Danio rerio: one gene and its partners. The main gene of each other region encodes a partner of the protein of the gene in region 2 in a complex. Links are inferred from orthologs where the notes say so. Each region holds a gene or a part of one and is shown on either strand. Other genes may lie near its edges.

The links. The genes of interacting proteins can lie anywhere in the genome.
Region 1: fam8a1a (region 2) and os9 share a complex: the UniProt entries of both Homo sapiens proteins name them as parts of the HRD1 complex. The link is inferred for Danio rerio from reciprocal best matches to the Homo sapiens genes FAM8A1 and OS9.
Region 3: fam8a1a (region 2) and ube2j1 share a complex: the UniProt entries of both Homo sapiens proteins name them as parts of the HRD1 complex. The link is inferred for Danio rerio from reciprocal best matches to the Homo sapiens genes FAM8A1 and UBE2J1.

What each region holds. Positions count from the first base shown.
Region 1 is NC_133181.1:41,760,408-41,766,533, reverse strand, and holds part of os9 (protein OS-9), read left to right. Parts: intron 1-741; coding exon 742-805; intron 806-1,025; coding exon 1,026-1,102; intron 1,103-1,295; coding exon 1,296-1,394; intron 1,395-2,042; coding exon 2,043-2,244; intron 2,245-3,272; coding exon 3,273-3,434; intron 3,435-5,467; coding exon 5,468-5,574; intron 5,575-5,664; coding exon 5,665-5,707; intron 5,708-6,126. UniProt on the Homo sapiens protein: Lectin component of the HRD1 complex, which functions in endoplasmic reticulum (ER) quality control and ER-associated degradation (ERAD).
Region 2 is NC_133194.1:34,653,548-34,660,149, reverse strand, and holds the start of fam8a1a (protein FAM8A1), read right to left. Parts: upstream 4,441-6,602; 5' UTR 4,355-4,440; coding exon 4,015-4,354; intron 2,904-4,014; coding exon 2,783-2,903; intron 2,453-2,782; coding exon 2,329-2,452; intron 2,100-2,328; coding exon 1,960-2,099; intron 934-1,959; coding exon of another isoform or gene 915-933; exon of another isoform or gene 834-914; intron 1-833. UniProt on the Homo sapiens protein: Plays a role in the assembly of the HRD1 complex, a complex involved in the ubiquitin-proteasome-dependent process of ER-associated degradation (ERAD).
Region 3 is NC_133195.1:1,226,344-1,232,469, reverse strand, and holds part of ube2j1 (ubiquitin-conjugating enzyme E2 J1), read left to right. Parts: intron 1-115; coding exon 116-221; intron 222-3,257; coding exon 3,258-3,381; intron 3,382-3,656; coding exon 3,657-3,785; exon of another isoform or gene 3,786-4,816; intron 4,817-4,981; exon of another isoform or gene 4,982-6,058; intron 6,059-6,126. UniProt on the Homo sapiens protein: Catalyzes the covalent attachment of ubiquitin to other proteins. Functions in the selective degradation of misfolded membrane proteins from the endoplasmic reticulum (ERAD) and is essential for cells to recover from ER stress.

The DNA of each region.
Region 1 (6,126 bases), on a different chromosome or scaffold from region 2:
AGAAGCTGACAAAAACTGAAGTGCGTGTTTAAAGTAAACTCCATTAACTAGAATAAATTATATTTTAATTTACAGTTGAGTCAGTCTTAAAGCATCTTCCATTCAGACTTGAGAATTGTCCACTTCAGTTAAAAATAAATGGTTCAGTGCGATTTGCAAATTGAATATAAATAAATATAACACATTTTTTAACAAATATAAGGGTGTAAAAAGTCAAATATTATGCTTTGCAGTTAAGCAAAAGATTCCCATAATAAAATACCCCAATAAAGTGCAGGTACTTAAAGAGTCTCAAAAATAAAAATTTACTCACCCTCGTGTGGTTTCAAACAAAATAAAAACATTGTTAAGAAAGTTTGCAACCAGCAACATCTGACTTTCATGGTAAGAAAACCAAATACTATGGAAATGAATGGTTCCAGCTTTTTTCTAAATATCTTATTTTGTGTTTATCAGAAGAAAGTCAAACATGATTGGAACAAGTGAAGAGTGGGTAATTGATGACAGAATTTTCTGTTTTGTGTAAAAGTTTGTAGTAATAAAGTAAAAACTGTTCTCTCTGATCATATTCTCTCAATCAAAAATGTTGTTTTGAAAAAAAAGCACATTTGGAGTGGCTATGTAGAGTATGTGTAAATTAAGACGTAATAAATGATGTACATTTATAGTCATTTTAGGTCATGTTAAAATGATAAACTACATGTCGCTGTGATCTGAAGCTTGTTCATGTTTTGTTTGCAGACCAAAGACTGGTGGACCTATGAGTTCTGCTACGGCCAGCACATCAGACAATACCACTTAGAAGGCAGGTTAAATCTTTTATCTAATGTGTCTTGGATAAATTGAGTTTTACATGGTCTAAAAAATATATATGCACTGCCTGTATAAACATGTTTTTTATTAGTAGATGGAAAGGAATTTAGAGAATTTAGGACAGAAGCCTTTCAGGAAAATGCACTGCCTATAAATATATACTATTAAATATTTCAAGATGTTTGAAATGTGTTCCCTATATGTGATCGCAGATTCGGAGATCAAGGGAGATGTACTGTTTTTGGGATATTATGATACAGAGTTTGACTGGACGAATGAAACTGCAAAGGTAAGGTCAGGTTTGTTAATCTTGATTTGCTTGTCCTAATAAAATGTCTGTAAATGTTGTCAATTCAAATTAGGAATTCTGATACTAGCAGTAAATATTTTTTATTAACCACTTTTATGTTAACAAGTCTGTAGTTATCTTCTATATATTTTGTAGTTACAAAATTAAAATCTTGTTGATCTTTTTTTTTCAGGCATCTAAGCAGCATAAGCTGAAGAGGTATCACAGTCAGTCATATGTCAATGGCTCAAAATGTGACTTAAACGGCAGTCCCAGAGAGACGGAAGTCAGAGTAAGATACTAAGTGCCATATTCCAGACTATAGAGAAAAATAATGAAGAAAGAGTATTATTGAAGTCAGTCTAATGGCTAACAATAAACAATAAGGACACTAGTTAACTGTTGTGACTAGTCTTCTTAATTCTGCTGCTGTATGCACACACACTGTAGAATACCTTCACTATACAGATGTTGAGCTCATTAGACCTCAAGTAATGCATATATATATATATATATATATATATATATATATATATATATATATATATATATATATATATATATATATATATATATATATACATATATATACATACATATATACATACATACATACATACATACATACATACACACACACAATTTAAGGTTAGATAGATCCTTAAATGGATCAATCCTAGGTAGATCAAATTGAGGCTAGATAGATCTGTCCTTTACAACAAGCACATGCAATAATCTCAGATCTGATTCACAAACTTGTTTGAAGAACCAAATCAGCCAGAGACCAGTTATCATGATTAAAAGATCCAGGATCTGTCAGATTATCTTTGTTTAAGCGAGGTACAAAGAACGGACCCCAGTAGTTTACATCAGCAACATAGAATTGTATTTTAATCTAATGGCAATGATAATCTATATATGTATATTGTGTTTTTAACAGTTTGTGTGTGAGGAAGGCTCTACTGACTTCATTTCACGGGTGGATGAACCCCAGTCTTGCCGCTACGTCTTGACAGTCCACACCTCTCGCACGTGCCAGCATCCCCTTCTGCGCCCACCGTCCACTGCCAAACCACAAGGCATTGTGTGCCAACCTGCTCTCAGTGCCCAGCAGTACATGGACTACGTCAAGGCTCAAGTCTGTAAGTATGAGAGGTGATGATTTTTTTTACTTTACATCAAGGCACTGTAATTTAGGGATCGATTGGTGAAAATATCCAATGTTACAAATGATTTTGCTGTGATTCTGTTAACATGACATTAATTAGCTACACTTAATTTGCTGTTTATATGGTTGTCAAGAGTCTCCAAAGAATCCTTCACTTTACTGCATGACTGTGAGATGTTGAGGAGGATATATTTTGTGTTTAAAAGATGAGTTAATGCATTTAAAAATCAGTTAATAAATTTAAAAATTGTATTATTTTTTTATTATATCAATAATATATCAATTAAAATAATTAATCATGTTTTTGTATTTGTATACTGTTTAATTACTTTTTAACAGGTAAAATCAAACTGATCGAAATTAAAGATATTATTTATATATTTTATATTTTTGTTGTATGGTTTTTCTTCCGCCTTGATTGTGTTTATTAATTGTCTCTGTATTTTTTGTAATTTTGATTTTATTTATTTTAATTTATACAAAACAAAAAGTAAAATATATCTTAGGAAATTTACCAGAAAAAAAATGTATTATATTGTTTGAGTTGATGTTATTTCATCAAGTAACAGCATTAATTTTGTGCTAGTGGTTTTAACTAGCTATAACCCTGCTCACCCAGGAGAGATGACCTATATGCTGTCAAATGTTAATTACACTACTATTACAATAACAGGATATGGATTGCTATGGCAGCGCATTAAGCCCAGTCTATTGTGACTCCGTTCATTATTCAACAGTTGTTGCTTTCACCTTTTACACATACAGTGCTGTATACTTACTTGCATAGAAACCTTCAGAATCATAATCAGATATTTTTATTCACAATTTCTTTCCTTATCACTCATTACACTATTCATAAAAATGCCCTCGCTGCCAAGTTCTGTCCTATTAGATTAGATCTCCGGAGATGCAATCAGCCTACATTTAATTGTACTCTGTTCTCCAATTGATTCATTATTTTTAGCACCTAGACATCTGTCGTTGCCTCTCTCTCTGTCTCAGCTGACACCAAACGTAAAGTGGAGCAGATCTCAGAGGAGCTCAGAAACCTGGATGAAATTCTGTCCAAGGATGACAAGAACAAAGGTGTGCTGGATGACAGAACAGATGAGGAACCTGCAGTTAGCTCTGATGAGCCTCCAGTTTCCAAGGCCCAAAAAAAAGGTCAGCATTCAGACTGTGATTTGATTTCTTTATACTTGTATGACTGGGTTAGTTTTAAGGCCATCTACAACACCCTCAAAATCAGTCTTGAGTTTTTCAACCTCAATCCTGCAGTTATAGTTCAATGCACTGGGTGGTGCTGTGTAAAGGAAATATAAAACTGAGTTGGTGAGAAGTGATATATACAGGGGCGCTGCTGTTCAGTACAGGCCCTATGACAACTTTGTAGAATTGTACAACTTTGTACATGGTTACTAATAGTAACTCTAGGGCCCCCAAAACGGCGTGGGTCCTTGGAATGGTCCTAACTTTTCCCCCTAGCAGCGCCCGTGGTTATATGTTTTGTTTTCATGACCAGTTTTTAAGGAGACGCTGCTAATAAATAGTGTAAAAAATATTGGCATCACCACACTTTTTTTAGTTATTTGATTGTTTATATATGATTAAACAAGCAAATAAGGCATAATTTAAACAAATATGCACTGTTTTGCATAGATTTCTAACACAAAAATTAGAACATTGAAGGAAATCAGCTTCAGAATTCTTCTTCTTCTTCTTCTCTCTCTATTTTATTTTTACATTAGATTAATAGATTTTTACCAAGGGGATTTTGGATATGTCTTTCCATCAGATATTGTTTTGAACAGACAGACACATTAGAGTAATATATCTTTTTGTCAAGTGAGATTTGGGTATGTTTTTGTCATTAGATATTGCTGCAAACAGACAGAAAAAAATCGCATTGTTTTTTTTAGATTAGAGCACAGGGAGTCAATGGGCAAAAACAAAATTTTAGGCCTTTTTACTGTCCAATTTTAACTCCCTAATCAGGGAAAGAAAACTAAAGCAGCACATTCATTTACATGATCTTTTATTAATAGAAAATCTATTTACAAAAGTAACTGGGCCATTAGAAAAAATCCTTATAGTGTTTAGCCCTGTAGAAGTATAAAACTTCAATCTCAATGGTCTTAAAGTCTTACATTTGTCTTGGAAGTCTGCAAAAACCCTGACAATAGATTTTTACCAATTTTACAGATTTTTATGATTTTCTTCATCAAATATTACTGTGAACAGACAGAAAATGTCTTAAAATTCAAAAACAACGTTTTAGGCTTTATGAAGTCTTAAATTCACTAAAATATTGTGCTGTTGGTCTTAAATCATTTTAAAACAGTTAAATCTCCCCAATCAGTTCAATTACCATTACTCCATCTTAAAACATTTTTATTGCAAAGAGATGCAATTCACAATGACAGTTAGACGTTTTTACAGCAAATTCGCCTAATTAAATTACTTAATCAGGGGGAAAAACGAAAGCAACACATCCATTTACATGACCTTTTGTTAATGGAAAAACTATTTACAGAAGTAACTGGGCCATTAGAAAAAAAGTATAAAATTTCAGTCTTAATGGTCATAAAGTTTTAGCCTGCAGAGACCCAGAGAGCAATAGAATTTTACCAAGGGGATTTTAGTCCGTCTTGTCATCAGAAATTACTGTGAACAGACAGTAAAAATATTCCTCTGTGAAAAGCCTTAAAAATACATATTATAGTTAAAATCTTTATACAATGCGGCAAAAGAAGCACTTTGAAGTCTATTTTGCATGTTTTCTTTTCATTAGACTGGAAAAAAAAAACACTTTCTGAACAACCAAAATTGCTAAATTGGGGTGCATGTTAACATGTTTTTCCTGTTTCTCGACAAAGTCTAAGAATATTAAAATATGATTGACGCATGTGGCTGCAAAACCTCTTTGGGTCACCAATGTATATGTTTATCATATTAGTTTTTGACCTACTAACTACAAAATGAATTAAAATGGCAATCTCTGACATTGTATTACAGTATTTATTTTCACATCTTTTTATAAAACATTCAGGTGTGTCGTCTTGTGCATGTATAGTTTGTAGCTTTTTTGTTTATTATTTCAGTCTTGCTTTTACATTCTTGTTCTCTTCTTTAAGCTGTCTCTTTAGCAGCTTCCATGCAGCCTTCAAACAAATATCTGTGTATGTGTGATATAACAGAGGGTGAAGTTGCTGAGAAGTCGACGAGTGAAGAGCCAGAGGACAAAGACTTCTGGGAAGGAGTTACCAAACCAGCACACACAAAGCCAAGCACACCTGACACAGAGGTACAAACTGTCTGGAAATGAACATAATGTGAACCAGACATCTTCATAGTGAGATTTGGTCATTTACTTCATTTTACAACTCTCTTACAGACCCCTCAGGAGCCACAGGACAACCAATTACATGAAAATGATTGTAAGACAATTATTTTAATTAAACATAAAGTAACTATGTTGCATAAGAAGTTTTTTTTTCTTGAATCAAAAATGTAGCATCAGTTTTATTTAGTTTATTAATGAGTACCATACACAACCAGAATTACAGTATCTATGAAGCTAAAATTGGTCTTGATTTAAGGGTGATAAATTTATAGATGTTATGTAACAAGTAAAGCTGTGCTGTACAATCAAAACTTTATTTTTAACAATTTGTAAAATTTCTGCCATGAAACTATGCGCAAGCAGGCTGATTGGTTACCTAATCTGCCCCTGCGTCATGAGTTGAAATGCTCTGCGTCATTTTACGCTGTCAAGCTGCTGCATGTTTTTGGAGACCCTCTTCCACCCCAGCTCCACCTGTGTTTGGATCTGCTATGGCACAGGTGTCAAACTCAG
Region 2 (6,602 bases):
GATTCTAAAATCATATTTGCACGTGTGCAAAGAAATATTTTATACTTATTGAGTTACAGGTGACATGTAGAAAAAATATATTTTATTTAACATTTAAACTGTATGTTCTAGGCCAGGCATATCCAAACTCTGTTCTGGAGGGCCGGTGTCCTGCAAAGTTTAGTTAAAACCCCAATCGGACACACCTGGGCTAGCTAATCAAGCTCTTATTAGGCTTTCTAGAAACATCCCTGCAGGTGTGTTGAGGCAAGTTGGAGCTAAAATCTGCAGGACAGCGGTCCTCCAGGACCGAGTTTGGACTCCCCTCTTTTCTATGTAATTGTTTTGATGGAAGAAATCAAGATGGATTTCAAGTTTCAACATTATTTGTTCTTCAGACATTATCATTTGTTTTAAGTTTTTTATTGCATGCAAATGAATAAATTTACTGTTAGTCAAGCTTATGGGACCGACTAAAGACTTTTGTCGACAAAAGAAGAGTGTGTTAGAACAGGGGTTCTCAAAGTGGGGGTCGGGACCCCTCGAGGAGTCGCGGGACAATGAAGGAGGGTCGCCTGGTGATTTAAAAAAATCTATTTATTATTATTAAATCATATAAGAATGACCATATTTTATCCATAACCTACTGAAGAGAAAAATATAGTCGTTTATAATTACTAAATAGTTATAGTAGCTTATAGTTACTATCTCTATTGGATTGCGACCCCAGTGGTAATTACATTATATTAAAGACACAGCAATAGCGTCAGATGCAGCAGATTGATTTTATAACACCAGGTTAAAGTTTCTGGCCCATTTACAGCACTGACATTAAACAAAGAATATACCTGGGTGTTTTGGTGTGTGTGTGACATTGCATGCAAGGTTTCTGTATTCATAACCAGGATATTGGGGGTCGCGAGTCACTGGCATCGTCATATTAGGGGTCGCAGGCTGAAAAGTTTGGAAACCTCTGTGTTAGAAAATGAGATTATAATAGGTTTGCATCTATGGGTGTTTGGCCCAAGTCTTGATCAGTATCCATTGGCAAATAATGCTACAGTGAGGGCTACAGGTCAACAGGTTATCTAACAGACCTACACAAATCTCTGTATAAACTAAATATTGAAGAGGACCTATTTTACCCCTTTTACACAATGTAAGATACGCCTTTGGTGTCTCCAGAATGTGTCTGTAAAGTTTCAGGTCAAAATACCCATCAGATTATTTAATATAGCCTCCAGAATTTGTCCATTTTGGTGTCTGAGTACAGTGTAGCTGTTTTTGTAGCCTGTGGCTTTAAATAAAAATAAGCTGCTTCTCCCAGCCCAACGCTCCCACATGCATGTCGGCTTCACGTTACATCAGATAAACAGCAGTCAGTAATAAAGACAGACATGGATAAAGCTCAAATACAGCTCAGTCAAAAATATCAACTAAGCTTTTTTCATGTATGTGTGTTGGAGTTTATTCAAGCCTTTCGAAAATGATGAGTCACACACAAATGCCAATTGCAGTACACACACATATATATTTGTATTTGCTGACACCATGCGTGGTGTCAGCAAAGTGGTTGTTATAGCAGTTAAGAATTAGATAGCGATTTAACTTTCTTTATTAGAAACATGCTCTGTTTTACAAACGTTTTAAACTTATAAAACTGTGAAAGAAATCACAGAGAGTTGGAAGTGATTTAAAAAAATGTTCTGTTGACGTGTATATATGTTATTATAGAAACATGGCACCTGTCAATCAATTCAGTGGGCGGGGAAAACCGCATTCTTACGTCAAGTTGCAGTGGGGCTCAAAATCACTGGGATTTGGGTCCTATTTTAACATCAGGAAATTTAAAAAAAAGAGGCTTCTTGTGTTTCTATGACTTTAATATGACCGTGGACAAACTATACCTACACACAGTTCTGTCCAAACCGTTTTACAAAAGATGATATATATATATATATATATATATGCATAACTCACGCAGATAAGCTGACAGTGGATGCTGGTACCACCAAAACCCGATTCGGTTGCACCAGGACTGTCGTGTCACATGAGACGACTCGAAGACCCAAAAGAAACTTTCCTGGAGTGGCACCTCCAGCTCCCCAAATACAGATGATCTGCAGAAAAAGACAAAAACAGACTGTATGAGTGCAGGCAAGATGTCTACAATTTATTCAAATCACTTTAGACCACAGAGTTTTCCCTCCAAATACTGTTATTAAGCAACAAGAGTACAAGGATGAAAATGCTGATCAAAAATGTACTGTGAATATATACAAGGTTTGTAATTTTGTTTTTCCAAGATGAAAAAAAAAACATGCTAGAATCTCAAGGAGACTCACTTACTTCATAAACACACACCAGTACTCTGTATGCTAAAGCCACGACCATCATCTTCTGCAGGTCCTCCAATGACGTGTTCTCATCAATCTCTTCCACTATAAACTGCATTATGAATTTGGAAATATCTCTGTTCAGAAGATCAAAGAAGACATTTGAACTGTCATTATACAATACTCTATGCAATATATTTAAAATGCCATGTGTCATTTGCTCAAAATAATGTTAAAGGTGTAGGCCTAATAATGCATAAATAATTACAATCTAATAGAACTGTTTATTATTTAATATATTTTCCTGTGCTCAATAAACATTTCTAATCATTATCAATGTTAAAAACAGATGTTGCTTAAAAATAAAAGCACTTACTGATTTTTCTGTGGTCTTTTGGGCATTTTATTTTAATTGAAATCCTGTCTTAATAAAAGTATTTTCTTTTAAATATATATTCTCAACTCACTTCATTCCACAGAGATGCATGATCCACAACACTATGGTTGCTTTCACACAGAAGAGAATGAAGAAATCGACAGTTTCAGCCAGAAATCTGCGTAGAGGAGAGGGTATAATGTATTCTCTACCTGAAAGGAAAAAGATCATGTTATGAAAGACTACCTATGGATGCACGTTTAATATTTTCACTGTCACAAAAACTGTGCATTCTTAAGTTAGTTTATTTGACTTGATTCTTGCATTAAAACATATAGTAGTACGTGTCATGTAAATTAATGTTGTTCTTTTTAGTCTTTAAGCTTTTTAGTTTCTTGAATCAAATTATTTCACATTGAACACACTGGCCGGGAAATGCCCATTTTAGACTTTTTTATTGTTGTTTAAAATGTTTAAATATACTAGGTACTACTGAATTTAATTAAAGTTACTTATATAGCGCTTTTCACAGTAGTTATTGTTTCAAATCAGCTTTTCAAAAGATGCAAATTATTGTAATATAATCAAAATCAGAAAAGTTGAGTTATTAGTTACCATAACTGTATTAATTGCTAGTAAATACTTTAATTAACTAGTAAGCAATAGCTTTTAACAGTTCAAGTTATTATATATAAGCATAGTTGAGTTGCAGTTACACAGTATGTAGGTGATGTCATTGTTGTACATGTTCAATGAAGTGCATCATCATCTCTTCACAGATCTTGGATAGCACTACTAAAGAACTATAATACTGACACAAATAGCTCCATATTCTGAGCGGGAAAGTGGCATAGAATCACTTGTGATCTTCAGAGCGAACCACAAAAAATTACATTTACTATTAATTTACATTTACAAAACCAAATGAATAATGGTTATAAAAACACAGCATTGTAATATACAAATAAAGTGTGTTCAGTTTCCTGCATATCATTTCACTTCAAATGTTGTCAATGTATCTTCATCATGAGCCACGTGTATTAGTTTTACTTTGCCTCTGCATGTTTTTTTGACACTCAAGGTGTCAGTAGTCATTGACAAGACAGAGTGCATTATAATTTTGGGGTAAACTATCCCTTTAAATTAGGAAATACATAATACCAAAGTGAATACAACTATAGAGACTGTGAAGGAAAATCTACAATTTACACAAAATGTAAATGAATTTTATTAGGTTCTTTATTAACGTGTGTTTTAAGGATTTTTGTTTAAAGCTAACTAGTCTTTCTTCTCAGATGACTGCGTTACTGACAGTTACTCTACCTGCGGGCTGTGCTGCCCCTCTGTCCCCAGTGCTGGATGTGGCGGTGTCTGCTGGACGGATGGCTCCCGGGCTGCTCATTTGGTTGTACCAGGCGGCGATGTCCGCCGGCGTTGTGGGATACACGGATGCAGAGCTGCCCGGTGCCTGGCAACCGAACTGAGGCGGAGGAAAGAGCGGCGCGGACATCAACACCCAGCTCTGCCAGCTCACATATCCGCTGTAGTAGCGCCACATCCACTGCTGCAGCCGCGCGCAGTACTCGTTCGTTGTCATCTTATCATCGTCATTGGCTCCTTCGCCGTTTTTGTCCGCCTCTTTCGCACTGTTCTTCTTTGCCATGTTCACCTCTTAAATAAATCCTATTTTCACTTCCTTCCACTCACTAAAGAGGCTAATCTTCTCAGAGAACGGCCATGACAACTGCTCATTTAAGCTGGAATATACCATTGTACCCGTGGTGCAACGTGCTTGGAGTTGTTTTGTGTTTTTACTTTAATATCTTTGACAAGCGAATGAAACTAAATTTTCATAATTAGTTTTTTGTAGCAAAACGATTGTGCAAACTGGTCACGTAGATTCAAATAAAAAATGCCCGCCATTTGTGCACCCCCGTGTTATTCAATAATGTTGCAGCCTGCAAAGTTTACAAAAAGGTTCATAGCAGAGAAATGAGCTACATTGTTCGTGTTTATTCATTTTGGTTAATTAAACATATCGGATTGATTATTGTTAGTTTGTTAGCTCAGTTCCAGTAAGCTATCGGTTAGTAAATGTTTACTAACACTTTAATGTTAAATTAACCGTAAATAAATTCTCTGTGTTTATGTTAACTAATGCTGTAGTTAAACTTATGTTAAATGAAACCTTTATTGTAAAGTGTTACCATGTTAATAACAATCGGTTATTCAACACAGAAGTCATATAACTATAAACGATTTAAATAATTTTTTTATTTGTAGCTAGTAAAATATTGAAAGTAGATACTATATCCCTGCTGAAAAAGCTTAAACCAGCCTATTTTCTAGCCTGACCAAGACCAGGCTGAAAATGACAGGACACCAGCCTGGAAATGGCCAAAACCCCTCTAAAACCAGACTGGTCAATCAGCTAAAACCAGTCAACCAGCCTAGGCTAGTTTAAGCGTTTTTTTAGCAGGGATGTAATGGTAAAATATTTATACTTACAGAAAAAAGTAATTAACCTGCTAGTGACTTATTACTTTATTTATTTATATTATCAGATTTTTACAATAATTTATAAATATGGGTAAAATGGTGGCTTAGTGGTTAGCACTGTTCTCCTCACAGCAAGAAGGTCGCTCGTTCGAGCCTCTTCTGGGTCAGTTGGCATTTCTGTGTGGAGTTTGCATGTTCTCCCAGTGTTTGCGTGAGTTTTCTCCGGGTGCTCCGATATCCCCCACAATCCAAAGACATGCGGTACAGGTGAATTAAATAAGCTAAATTGGCCGTGTGTATTTGTGTGAATGAGAGTGTATGGGTGTTTCCCAGTACTGGGTTTCAGCTAGAAGGGCATGCTGGATAAGTTTGTGGTTCATTTTGCTTAGGCGACCCCTTACGAATAAAGTAATTAAGCCGAAAATGAATGAATAAAGGCATTGAATAAAATAAGTGTTATAATAGCCTACGTAATGGTAAAATAATTTTTTTACAGAAAAAATGGTAGTGCTGGAGACTTAAGGCTGCTTTATTTTTATTCTATCTATCTATCTATCTATCTATCTATCTATCTATCTATCTATCTATCTATCTATCTATCTATCTATCTATCTATCTGATTTTTTATATTTACATAAATATAATGTTGACAAATAGGCCTACTATATTTTCGTGTTTTGAAGAAAAGTTTTATTAATGAGCACATAAATTAAATGTTCTTCTTAATAAAAAATCCACACGTTATTAACCCCAGAAAACATTCATTTAACAATTTTAGAATGTTTTTGGGTGTTAATAACGTGTGGATTCATTATAAAGATGGCGAGCTAAGCACATGTAGTTTTCTCTGCTCTATATTTTTGATTTATTGACCAAGATTCTATATTGTATCATCCCGATTACAGTTTTATTGTTGACTCGTTTAAGTAGATTGAAATTCTTTCAACAAAATAAAGCTCTACACAACCCCCCAACCCCAAAAAAGAAAGTTAGTCATCTTTGTTTAAATTCATTACCACTAGATGGCGACAGTGTCTTTTACATGATTTAGAATTTGCAGTGAAAATGAACTGATTTATTCTCAATATTTTCTGCATTTTAACATGTATGTCAACATAAATTTAATGACACATACTCCTAAACATAACACTTTTTTTATCAAGAAGCACTGAGAAGGAATGAACTGTATAAACTCTATGTACTTAAATTCAGTTTTAGCAAATACATAAAACTGAGATTTACTATGCTGATTTAGACATCAGCATATCAATGTGAAGCTATAAGGTAATAAACGTTTCACTAAATATCAACCAGAATCAACGCTTGTTTTACCCCTACGCTTGTTATGGCGGCCAGCTGTTAAGAGACAGTGATGTATTAAAGTCTCATTCTCTGCTGGGTGTGTATTTGCT
Region 3 (6,126 bases), on a different chromosome or scaffold from region 2:
TTGGCAAGCCCACTCACCTGTGTGAGGCACACTTAGAAATGCTCAATGTTTTTTTTTCTTTCAGTTTGTATCAGTGATCACTCTTTCAATTAAAGCTGAATGTTTTGTTTGTCAGTCCGGACTGCTTTAATAGCGATTATAGGATTCATGCCGACTAAAGGAGAAGGAGCGATCGGATCTCTGGACTACACTCCTGAGGAGAGAAAAGCTCTCGCCAAAAAGTAAGATCTTCTACCCCTTTATTTATATTCTTTTTCCTTCCATTATTCAGCAGGAATAAAGACTAAACACCATGGCAACAAAAATTTTACTTAATTGTACAAATTAGATCAAACGAATTCATACGAATTAGCCACTAAATCAAAAAGTTACGAATTGCCGTGAGATTGCGTTGGGTTTTTTTTTCACTCGTTTTTTTTTTTTCTCTCACCCATTTTTTTTCTCCACCATTCCGTCCTTTCCGGGTCTCAGTAGCATTGCTTTATTTACCAAATTAAAAAAAAGTAATAAATAAACAATTTAGCAGGCATGAAAAGAAAATAGACGGAATAATTAAAATACATATAGAAACTATACATGTATTAAAGCTTAAGCAAAGGAAATATTAGCACAAAATAAACCAATTAAATGATTAATAAACAAATAGATTGAGATATTTTTCATTTTTGTTAATTTTTTTATTTTACTTTTGAGCCTAGAAACCTGTAATCTACACTTTTAAATCATTTATTTGTTTCACAATCTCAGGACACTGTTGACCCCGTACATTCGGCTATTAAAAATGGCAAGTGGCTAGTAACGTTGGAAATCCACTAGCCACAGTGGCTGGTGATCAAAAAAAAGTTAATGTCAAGCCCTGCATATACATATTTATATATAGAGAGAGAAATATATATATATATATTAAGCGCAAGAAATACATAAGTAAATTCATTCATTCATTCAATTTCCTTTGGCTTAGTCCCTTTATAATTCAGGGGTCGCCACAGCAGAATGAACTGCCAACTTATCCAGCATATGTTTTACACAGCGGATGCCCTTCAAGCTGCAACCCAGTACTGGAAAACACCCATACACACTCATTCACACACAGACATTTTAGCTCACCCAATTCCCCTATAGCGCATGTGTTTGAACTGTGGTAGAAACCGGAGCACCTGGATGAAATCCACGCCAACACGGGGAGAACATGCAAACTCCACACACAGCTCGAATTAGCTGGGACTCGAACCAGCAACCTTCTTGCTGTGATGCGACAGTGCTAACCACCTAGCCACTGTCTCTCACCATACAATACTAGTATCCTGTAAAATGTTATGTACTCTCATTGGGGCAAAGACTAAAGCAGAGTTATTAAAGCTGTTGGTTTTGAAGCGTCTGCTGTTCAATCCTCTCCTCGTTGAACAGCACTGGGGAAATTGAATATTCACAGGAAGAGTCTTCAGCTTCATGATAAAGGCTCCTCATCTGCCCTGGAGACTGAGAGGTGCTGCTGGGACGTGTGTGGACATGCTGAGTCCTTCAGAAGAAACACGCGTGTGACTGCTGCCATCAGCGGCTCATTTCCAATCAACACGTGCTGATTAAACAGCCACCTCCAACACACGCACGCACACACACACACACACACACACACACACACACACACACACACACACACACACACACACACACACACACACACACACACACACACACACGCACATACCAGGACATGAAAACTAGAGGAGCAGGTCTGTGGGATCAACTCTAGAATCATCAGCCTGCTGTTCTGCTTGTGGATTTGTTATTTAACATGTTTTTGGGCTTTTCTATTCCCTCATTGTGCACTTATTTACGGCACATAAAGCTGCGGTTAGGGCTACACGGTGGCGCAGTGGACAGCACTGTTAATTTCCTACTGTAAATACATCCAAATTATTTAAAAATTAAAAATTAATTACTATCTATCTATCTATCTATCTATCTATCTATCTATCTATCTATCTATCTATCTCTATTTATCTGTCTGTCTGTTTGTCCGTCATCCTTCTGTCTATCCATCTATCTATCTTTCTGTCTGTCCGTCTGTCTGTCCATCTATCCATTCATCCATCCATCTGTCCATTCGTTCGTCCATCCATCCATCCATCCGTCTATCTAGCTATCCATCTATCCATCCATCCATCTGTCTGTCTATTTATCTGTCAATCTGTCTGTCCATCCGTCCATCTGTCCATCTGTCTATCTTTCTGTCAATCTATCTGTCAGTCTGTCTGTCCATCCATCTGTCAATCTGTCTGTCCATCCATCCATTCATCTGTCAATCTGTCTGTCCATTCATCCATCCATCCGTCTATCTATCTGTCAATCTGTCTGTCCATCAGTCTCCATCCATCCCTCCATCCGTCCACTAATCTGTCTATCTGTCAATCTATCTGTCAATCTGTTTGTCAGTCTGTCTGTCCATCCATCCATCTGTCAATCTGTCTGTCCCTCCATCCATCCATCCATCTGTCCGTCCCTCTGTCTGTCTATCTATCTGTCAATCTGTCTGTCCGTCCATCCATCCGTCCGTCCATTTGTAAATCTGTCTGTCCATCCGTCTATCCATCCATCCGTCCATCTGTCTATCTATCTATCTGTCAGTCTGTCTGTCCATCCATTCATTCGTCTATCTATCTGTCAATCTGTCTGTCCATCCATCTATCCTTCCATCCATCCATTTGTCCTTTTGTCCATCTGTCCATCTGTCTATCTATCAATCTGTCTGTCCATCCATCCATTCATCTGTCAATCTGTCTGTCCATTCATCCATCAATCCATCCATCCATCCGTCTATCTATCTGTCAATCTGCCTGTCCATCAGTCTCCATCCATCCGTCCGTCCGTCCATTAATCTGTCTATCTATCTGTCAATCTATCTGTTTGTAAATCTGTCTGTCCATCCATCCATCCGTCCGTCCCTCCGTCTGTCTATCTATCTGTCAATCTGTCTGTCCATCCATCCATCCGTCCGTCCATTTGTCAATCTGTCTGTCCATCCATCCGTCCATCCGTCCGTCCCTCCGTCTGTCTATCTGTCTGTCCATCCATCCATCCGTCCGTCCATTTGTCAATCTGTCTGTCCATCCATCTATCCATTCCATCCGTCCGTCCGTCTGTCCATCTATCTGTCAATCTGGCTATCCATCTATCCATCCATCTATCCGTGTATCCATCCGTCCGTCCATGTGGGTTTAATTGGCTGTGTGTATGTGTGTGTGTGTGTTGGGCAGGTCTCAGGATTTCTGCTGTGAGGCGTGCAGCAGCTGTATGCGCTCGGCTCTGCTTCCTCTCTCTCCTGACAGTGACCTTCGACCCGCTGACCCTCAGAGACTGGCACAGCAGATCAACTTCAAGGTGCGGTCACACCAACAGAACACACACATTTCACAAACTCACAACTCAGAGAGACGCTGGAGATTTGCAAGAGAACATTTTCATTTAAATGTTGTTTTTTCCACTATTTGAAAAGCTTGCCACCAGCCATTACAAGATGTTTATGGTATAAAATATATACCAAATCTATATTTGGTCGGGGTGACCTACTTATTTAGGCCAGTATACGCATTTTATTGGTAATTCACATGTGTGTAGCAGTGTTTCTGATTGGTGAAGCATGTGTTTGTTCACAGGCTGAATCCAGCTCCTCCGCTGCAGACAGTAGCAGCTCCTCATCAGCAGCAGCCGAAGTGTTTTCCAACACCAGCGAGAGCTCTGAGACTGCAGACCAAGACACAGAGGACACGTCTGCAGCTGAGCAGGTACAGCAGAACCACAAACACTTCTCATTCTGATCTTACACCTCATTACTTCCACAGGCCTCACATGCTGTAGTCATGAACAGACTATCACACTGAATCTTCACCTGCTGAAATTCACAGGTTGACTTTATTAGTTACATGGTTGGTTGTAAAATTCCAAGGTATGTTATTCCCAGATAACAACCACTGAATAACACCCCGTCAGTGAATACGTTCACATCCATACACTTACATTCACATTCATGTGTGTCTGATTGTCTGTCACGCTGTGGTTTTTAACTGTTTGGGACTGTTTGGTGAATAAATAATGTAAGTTAGCGTATGTAAGTGTTAGTATGAGGTGACATTGTAAAAAAACGTTGATGTTTTTAGGCAGAAGTGACAAACTGCAAGCTTTGGATGATCTTCTAAATGCAAATTTGGACACGGTTTCAGAGCACACTAGCTTATAGATATTAACAGACTGATACTAATGTCTAAAAATAGTTAGTTTCATTTTCTTTGAATAAACAAATTGAAGTCCAGATGAAACTGATTTATAAAATTTGCCTAGAAATCTTCTTAAAAGCGAGTGTACAGCATAATAAATGTCACTTTATTTGTTAATGATTATGGCCCATGTGATGATTTAAAGTGGCGCAGATTTTTTTTAAATGCACATCTCCGCCCCTGTTTTTTGCGTACATCATATTTATAATTGAGACCCCATGTGTAAACAGCCCCTAACATTCTAGATGCGATCCTGTATAGTTTATGCTCCATTCAGCCAGTTTAGTGTCTGTCAGCTTTGTGTTTTTGACTGTTTGTCTCCATCTTGTGTCTGAATAATGTGCAGGTTAGTGTATACTCCATCAGCTGTTTTAGTGTCTGTTGTGTTTTTGACTGTTTGTCTCCATCTAGTGTCTGAATAATGCGCAGGTTAGTGTATACTCCATCAGCTGTTTTAGTTTCTGTTGTGTTTTTGTCTGTTTGTCTCCATCTAGTGTCTGAATAATGCGCAGGTTAGTGTATACTCCATCAGCTGTTTTAGTGTCTGTTGTGTTTTTGACCGTTTGTCTCCATCTAGTGTCTGAATAATGCGCAGGTTAGTGTATACTCCATCAGCTGTTTTAGTGTCTGTTGTGTTTTTGACCGTTTGTCTCCATCTAGTGTCTGAATAATGCACAGGTTAGTGTATACTCCATCAGCTGTTTTAGTGTCTGTTGTGTTTTTGACTGTTTGTCTCCATCTTGTGTCTGAATAATGCGCAGGTTAGTGTATACTCCATCAGCTGTTTTAGTTTCTGTTGTGTTTTTGACTGTTTGTCTCCATCTTGTGTCTGAATAATGCACAGGTTAGTGTATACTCCATCAGCTGTTTTAGTGTCTGTTGTGTTTTTGACTGTTTGTCTCCATCTTGTGTCTGAATAATGCGCAGGTTAGTGTATACTCCATCAGCTGTTTTAGTTTCTGTTGTGTTTTTGTCTGTTTGTCTCCATCTTGTGTCTGAATAATGTGCAAGTTAGTGTATACTCCATTAGCTGTTTTAGTTTCTGTTGTGTTTTTGACTGTTTGTCTCCATCTAGTGTCTGAATAATGCGCAGGTTAGTGTATACTCCATCAGCTGTTTTAGTGTCTGTTGTGTTTTTGACCGTTTGTCTCCATCTAGTGTCTGAATAATGCGCAGGTTAGTGTATACTCCATCAGCTGTTTTAGTGTCTGTTGTGTTTTTGACTGTTTGTCTCCATCTAGTGTCTGAATAATGTGCAGGTTAGTGTATATTCCATCAGCTGTTTTAGTTTCTGTTGTGTTTTTGACTGTTTGTCTCCATCTAGTGTCTGGATAATGCACAGGTTAGTGTATACTCCATCAGCTGTTTTAGTTTCTGTTGTGTTTTTGACTATTTGTCTCCATCTAGTGGCTGAATAATGCGCAGGTTAGTGTATACTCCATCAGCTGTTTTAGTTTCTGTTGTGTTTTTGACTGTTTGTCTCCATCTAGTGGCTGAATAATGCGCAGGTTAGTGTATACTCCATCAGCTGTTTTAGTTTCTGTTGTGTTTTTGACTGTTTGTCTCCATCTAGTGGCTGAATAATGCGCAGGTTAGTGTATACTCCATCAGCTGTTTAGTGTCTGTCAGCTCTTTGTTTTTGACTGTTTGGTGCCTTCTTTTATTGTCTGCATGGAGGTTCTGGACAGAAATTCATATTTGACACTGACATACAACATATATTTACATTCTATAAAGCCCATAAAACACTTTAACCCAACTCATCCCAAATAGAGAGGGTTTATTATATAAAAAAAACAAACAAACAATCCTGATAATACATATTCCAGCTAAAGGACTTGATAAAGGATTC